2 linked regions of the Cricetulus griseus genome follow. The protein of the gene in region 1 interacts with the protein of each later gene in a pairwise test. Links are inferred from orthologs where the notes say so. Each region holds a gene or a part of one and is shown on either strand. Other genes may lie near its edges.

What was found.
Region 2: the proteins of Cask (region 1) and Tbr1 interact in a two-hybrid assay, tested with the Homo sapiens proteins (2 studies listed by BioGRID and IntAct). The link is inferred for Cricetulus griseus from reciprocal best matches to the Homo sapiens genes CASK and TBR1.

The regions. Positions count from the first base shown.
Region 1 is NC_048604.1:119,108,531-119,112,049, forward strand, and holds part of Cask (peripheral plasma membrane protein CASK), read right to left. Parts: intron 2,929-3,519; coding exon 2,732-2,928; intron 1-2,731. UniProt on the Homo sapiens protein: Multidomain scaffolding Mg(2+)-independent protein kinase that catalyzes the phosphotransfer from ATP to proteins such as NRXN1, and plays a role in synaptic transmembrane protein anchoring and ion channel trafficking.
Region 2 is NC_048599.1:113,085,178-113,088,696, forward strand, and holds part of Tbr1 (T-box brain protein 1), read right to left. Parts: 5' UTR 2,197-3,519; coding exon 1,505-2,196; intron 927-1,504; coding exon 772-926; intron 220-771; coding exon 98-219; intron 1-97. UniProt on the Homo sapiens protein: Transcriptional repressor involved in multiple aspects of cortical development, including neuronal migration, laminar and areal identity, and axonal projection.

The DNA of each region.
Region 1 (3,519 bases):
GATGCTCTTGCCTGCACCTCCCAGTGCTAGGATTGCAAATGTGCACTACTGACATTTTTTCTTGTTCTTAAACAAGACTTCATGTAGCCCAGGCTGGCCTCAAAGTCACTATGAAAAAAAGGTTGGCTTTGAACTGATCCTCTTGTCTCCACCTTCCCAAATTCTGAGATTACAGGCATGAGCCACCACTCCCAGTTCAAAACTCCCTGCTAAGGCCACACACTAGGCAAGCATTCAATCACTAAGCTATATCTCCAGCCTTGCTAGGCAAGCATTTTACCACTGAGCTACATCTCCAGCCTTGTTTCAATAAATTAAAAACCAGTTATTAATCCTGTATTTTCAGGAGAGTCTAATTTTTTTTCCATTATGAAAGAAGGTCTTTGTAGCCCAGGCTGGTTGGACTTCACTATGTAAACTAGGTTAACCTTGAACTCCTGGAAATTTTCATCTTTAGTTCACACTATATGGGAATTCAGATAGGTACCACAATACCTGACTGACTGAATTGTTTTTCCCAATGTGAGGAAGGGTGCCTGACAGATTCTATCTTTGTTAAGCCTATGGCGTACTCTTGGTTCTCTGGCATAATAGCAAATGCTTTCTTGGTAAGATGGAGTACTCCATCTTATGGCTCTGATGAAAGGATCTTATAGAACAACTGGTTGCTGAGTTTCCCAGTACCCTTTCAGCTATTCAGTGCTTTCAAGCTCATTAAAACAAAACAAAACACCCCTTCATTTTTTTTTGCAGCATTTTTTCCTGTGCAGCAAGAAGACTGATCTGAAGAGCCTAGACCTCAGCATAGCCGAGAAGCAAACCATCTTTTTCCACTGCAGTTTCTCTAGATTGCTGCACAGGACTAAGAGCTCATAATTTATATAGCTGCTCTAAGTAGGAGGAAGCCTGGAATCTACATAATTATTGTTTTTCTTCCCTAAAATTTGTTTCCACTACAGTCTCCTGTATCCCAGGATGGCCTCAGATACTCTATGTAACTAAAGATGACCTTGAGCTTCCGATCATCCCATCTAAGCATCCCAAATGCTGGATTATAGGCCTGCACCACCACACCTGCTTTTCTCTGTGCAGGGGATCAAACCCAGGGCTTCACCACTTGAGCTACTACATCCCCATCCCACACTTGAGTATTCTGAATGAATACTCATAATATATGACAGCTCTCTAGAGACATTTTGTGAAATGGAGCATTCCTAGCAGCAGCAGCAGCAGCAACAACAACAACAACAAGATGACTTAGAAATTGCTTTCCTTCTGCTTCTGCTAAACTGTCTGCAGATCAGATTTAAAGGCAATGCCAAATGGCTTGCTGCTGTTTCTCCATGTGTAACATGATGACACCTGAAGTCCTCATCGACTTTCTAAATTCAATAATAGTTTTGGGAAACATGAGATAGTTGAAAGAGGTAATTAAGGCAAAGAGATTAACCAAGAAATCTCTTAGTGAGAAGGACTGGTGAAAAAGCAGATATTTATGGGCTTGATATTTTGATTATTTTTAAATAAGTTCAAGTATTTGTGTGTGTGTGGGGGGGTACGGGTTAGGGTGTGGCAGAAGTCCAGCTTTTGACAGGTTATGTTTTGTTACTGTTAGTATTCAGTCATCTGTACTGGCCTGCCCTTGGGGTTTTGATAGGAGACACCTTCAGCTGCAGCCACTAAGAGCACCTCCTGTGCACATTCACTACATTCCCTTTTAAAAGGGCCCTGTCCACCTCCCATCTCTGTCTCTCTCTGCTTCTCTGTCCCTCCTTCGCTCCCACCTCTCTCCTGCTGCTCCTGTCCCCAGAGGCTGTCTCCCTTCTCCCTTTCCCCCTTTCCCATTCACTTTCCCCCAATAAAAAAATCCCCTTCACCCAAGCTCTGTTGCATGGCATCTTTCTCTCATGTGCCACTTTTTAAAAAATTACAACAGTTACAAAAAACAAAACCCAGGCATTAAATTATCTTTTTTGGTATTAGATTTCTGGTAGATATTGGCCAAATACTTAAGAGGGTAAGATTACGGACATTTAATAGATGATACACACACTCTCTTCTCTCAGTTAAAAACAGTGTCTGAAATGCCTGTCTGACTTCAGCCTGTTTCACAAGTTCACAAGTTCGGCTTTCTAACAGAATAGGTCATCTTTCCCCCTCTCTGTCTCTTGTTCTGTGGATGGAACCCAGGGCATGCCAGGCAAGCATCTACTTCTGAGCCGGAAAGACCATTCTTAAAGAATGGTAAGGCAAAGAACAAAGCTTCTGATTGTCCTTTCTCCCAACGGTGGAACAGGTCTTTAAATACCCCAAGTGACACTGAGTCATGGCACTTGAAGGTTTTCTTCCTGGTGTTGTAGGATGATCACAAAATAATACAGAGGGGCAAGAGGTAGCCACGTCTGGACGAAAATGCCATTCTAGAAAGATCAGAACACTTTGTAGGAGTTGAGGGCTCTGCCCTAATGATCTGAGGCTAGTCACTCAGCTTGTCTTTGAGCCTCCTTTCCTTACCCATGTGCAGATCTAACTGGAACCAGTATCTGACTAGCAGCTGAGCATTGAGAATTCTTAGATAACTCATTTTAGGATGCGATCTTTGATCGAGGGCAGTTGAATTTTGTACAGTTAGCAAAGCAAAGGATTTATCAAGCAAGTTTTACAATACAAAACATGAAATTGAGAACTGGAAGGGAGGGAATTGTTGCATCATAAAACAACAAAAACATACCATTCCTGAAGTTCAGGAGAAGGAATGAGACCTGCAGTTCCATTTTTGGAGTTTTCCAGTTTACCCTGCCACCAGTTGTGGTCATCCTTACTAATAATCTGAATGATATCACCAACTCGGAATCGGATGCCAGCTTCTTTGCAGGGGATGAGGTCATCCTTGGCTGGATCATATTCAAATTGTGCTCTTACATAGATCTATAAAATAGGAGTTTGTAAGGAAGGAGGCCACAGTGATGTGAAGGAAAACAGCGAGCACTAATCTAATAACCACACATCCAGATTCACAACACAAATAGGACATCAGATGGTGAAACAATGTATGGAAATAGGACACAAGAAACAGGGTGCCACATCTAATAATTACAGCTTCAACTTTGAGATTTATAATACTTGTTGAGTAAATTCTGCTTTGAGTAATAGGATGTGTGTATAGTATAGAGCAGTAGGCCAACCAATTTTAAAATTGGCTATGACTATGGTGATGGTATGGATATGTTGTCATGACCATGAGGCAGCCTTTAAGGCATGGAAACTGGCACTCAGGGTGGGTGGGTTTTTATCTTAAACTAGCAAGAACTCTCTGGGTTGGTATCTTGCTGTTGGATGCTGTCATGACAACTGGCAGTGTCTCTATACACTGCAGACAAAGTTATATGCAGCTCAAACAATATTAAAAAGTTCAAAATACCACTTTATTTCTTTAGAGGAAGTTTGGCTTTGTATTTGTGCTTTACTCTTGCGGGAAAATAAAGATGAATCGGAACCCTTGCTTTGTCAATGTAACAC
Region 2 (3,519 bases), on another chromosome or scaffold:
TGCTGCTGTAAACTAAAGAAGGGTGTGAGAGAGAGAGAGAGAGAGAGAGAGAGAGAGAGAGAGAGAGAGAGAGAGAGAGAGAGAGAGAGAGACTGACCTGCCCATTGTTGTTTGATGCTCCCTTGTTGTTGGTTAGTTTTAATTTTCCAAAAGAGATTTCTTGCCGCATCCAGTGAGCCCCAGTGTTGGGGGAATCCGGATGCATGTAGACCCGGTTTCCTTGATAAAGAAATAGCTTGTTTACATATGTTCTGGGCACTGCCCAGTCCCAACTCCTTAGCACATGAAACACACACACACACACACACACACACACACACACACACACACACACACACACACCTTACTACACAGTGAAGTCCATTAGCTGTTTTTTTTTGGGGGGGGACATACTTTCTTCTATTAACTGGGGATTATTAAAATAGGTTTACTGTCCAGCCCTAACTCTGTACTCTGTACTACATCACACACACACACACACACACACACACACACACACACACACACACACACATACCCCTTCACAGTGTGGCCTATTAGCTGGGCTATTTTTTTAAGCCGCGATTTCTTCCCATTAACTGGGAATGATTAAAATAGCTTTTGCATAATCCTCCCCTTTCTTGCCGCTCAGTCTGTCCCCCTGTCCCTCTCTTCTTTAGGAAGTCATTGGCCGATCGTTTTTAAAGTCGCTCGAGCCAGTCCACAAAGGCTTTAATTAATCATTCTCACCTAAATAAGTGTCAAGAAAACGTGTTAATTGGAAGGACTTGCCTTGCACATTGGTGTCCGCTTTGCCACAAGGAACCCATTTGCCTCCTTGAAACCTCCAGTGATTGGGATCCGCCAAAATCACATCCACAAAAATATTGTAATGAGCGGTGGGATCGAGCCCAGAAATGTTAAAACTCAAAAAGGGAAACATGCGCCTGTTTAAATTAAGAAGGAAGAGAAAACAAGGAATAAAGAAAATAAATGTTAGAAATTAAATGCTAGAAGCGGGGCGCCAGATAGCCAAGCAAAACTTGTCCTCACAGTGTGCCTGAACGAATATTCGCTGATCTGGAAAAGGGTAGTGGGAGAGGGGAAGACATAAGGCCAAAGTCGGGGAGGCAGCAGCGAGTGCTCTGCAGTAGGGGGCTGGCAGGTATCAGTGCGAGGGTGAAGAGCGGGGTTGGCGACCTGCTTCTCCACCTGTCGGCACAGGCCAGCTTTGATGAGTTGTTCTAACGCCTGGCAGCGGCCGGCCACGGCTCTTCATCTTGCTCCAGTCACTGACTGACTCTCCGACCGACCGCAGTGGTACAGCAGACTCCCCGCCACCAACATCACCACGGTGGTTATTATCCCTTCCACTTTCCCCTTTTCCAAAACCAGCCAACTCCAGGGCACACCCGAGCGCCTTTTCACTCCCCGACCCCACATCGTCGCTGCCTGGCGGTCACAACTTGGGTGCGCTCGCTCAGGGTCACGCCTGAAACGGCGGCAGCCAAGAAAGTAGCATTACCTTCCCTGTTTAGTGATGATCATCTCCGTTTGATGCCGATGAAATTTCAGCCAAAGTGGCCTGTTGCACAGGTATACCTGCGCCTTGCCGGGCACCAACCCGGGCTGTGTGGAGGAGAACTGGTAGAACGGAGCTCCTTGGTAGGAGTGGCCGTACTGCTGCGGGTAGGGGTAGCCGGCCGTGGGGTAGCCCTGCGGCGAGGAGTTGGACAGCAGGCTGTTGTAAGCTCCGTTGGTGATAACCGGGTGGTGGGCCATGTAGCGACTGGGGCTGCCGATGGAGAAGGCGGGATGCGCCGGTCCGTGCTGGCCGGGGTACGGGAACATGGCACTGGGAGCAGTGGCCGCAGACTGTGGCTGGCTGGACTGAGAGAGGAGGTAACGATCTGCAGCAGAGCCATCGAAACTGTGACGAAGCTCAGAGACCCCGTCCAAGACAGGAGAGAGTTTACTTCTCTGGACGTCCCCTGGTGAGTCCTTGGAGTCAGGAAAATTGTCTGTATCTGACTGATTCGTCATCCCCCTGGTAATTTTTTTCAAAGGTGAACTTCTCTCCAGGTTGTCAGTGGTCGAGATAATGGGATGATCGTGCAAGACAAGCTCAGATCCGCCCGAATGTGGGTAGCTGCTGCTCACATTGAGAAATTTCTTGGAGAGCATGATAGAAGGAGAGAGGCAGTGCTCCAGCTGCATAGCTCTAGAACCTGAACGCTCGCCCTCCCGTCCCTGGTTTTTAAAGTCCTGTTTATCATAAACTAGGAATCCACAGACCCCTCACTAGACAGAAAGCACTTCAACCAGCAAATGCTTCTCAAAGGTTTGATTTACTTTTTTTTTTTCCCTGGGAGAAGAGATTGGCCAATTGACACTATGCAGCAATCAGAAAAGGCTCACTTTTGATCTTGCTGCTTATGCAGCCGATGAAACGGCTCCTGCCATTGGTTAGCTGCTGACAGTAATTTAATTAGATAGACATTAATTAGGATAATCACCTGGCTCCTGGTCGCGACGATCATGGCAAATTGAAGGGGATGATTTTATTGTTGGCTTGGGGGGTGGGGAAAGTGTGTTGGTTTACGTGAGCTCTGTTATGTCACCTTTAAGCTTTGTGACCACTGCTTTAGGAAGATTCAAAGATGTGCAATTTACTAAACATTTTTACCCCCCTTCTCTCTTTAGAGAGGAGGGGCGGAGGAGGGAATTCGATGATGCTAGGAGACTTTTCGGATCTGAATGAGCCAAATATTCAGTTGAATGTAACGATTTCAAGTGCAAAGTATACAAAGCGCGAGCCGGTGGCCTCTTCTCTCCCTGTAAAACTTCCAGAGTCTGTCTTTTCCAGTTAATACACAATAGCTCACACACCTGAGCCTGCTTTGTGAGTAGGTACTGCGTGTCCTTGACGCCCCCTCCCCCACCTTTAAACTACACGACTAAAATAAATAAATAAACAAACCGCCGCCGAAAGCCTCGGCGTTATGCTGGAGAGAGGAGAAGAGGAGGCGAAGCAGCTCACCCACCCATCAACCCACCTCGGGAAGGTTCGGTTTCCGGCTGGGGTACAGAAACAGTGACAATCTATGATCTCCTTTTTAAGTTTTGAAATAATCATAAGCCTCGCGCTGAAGTGCTTTAATGTATTTGCAGTCATGTTTACTGGGTCGTTACTAAATATTTTATCAGCCAACTTGGTTGCAGATCATCTGAAGAGCAGCTAGCTGGGGGCGGGCGCCATGTATCCTTCGAGTCCCACCGCACTTCCTCCTTTCGGAGGCACTGGCTTGGTGACAGGTTCATAAGCCTCGCCAGGAAAGAGGGCTGAATCCCCCGTGCAAATGGGTTCGCTAGAAGCGTTGATCTGGGGAGACAGAGTGGAAGTGGTGTCAAAGCAATCTTACTGAACTCGTGTGTGTGTGTGTGTGTGTGTGTGTGTGTGTGTGTGTGTGTGTGTGTGTGTGCGCGCGCGCGCGCGCGCTTGTGTGTGTATGTGTGTAATGTTTACATAATCCAGAGGGA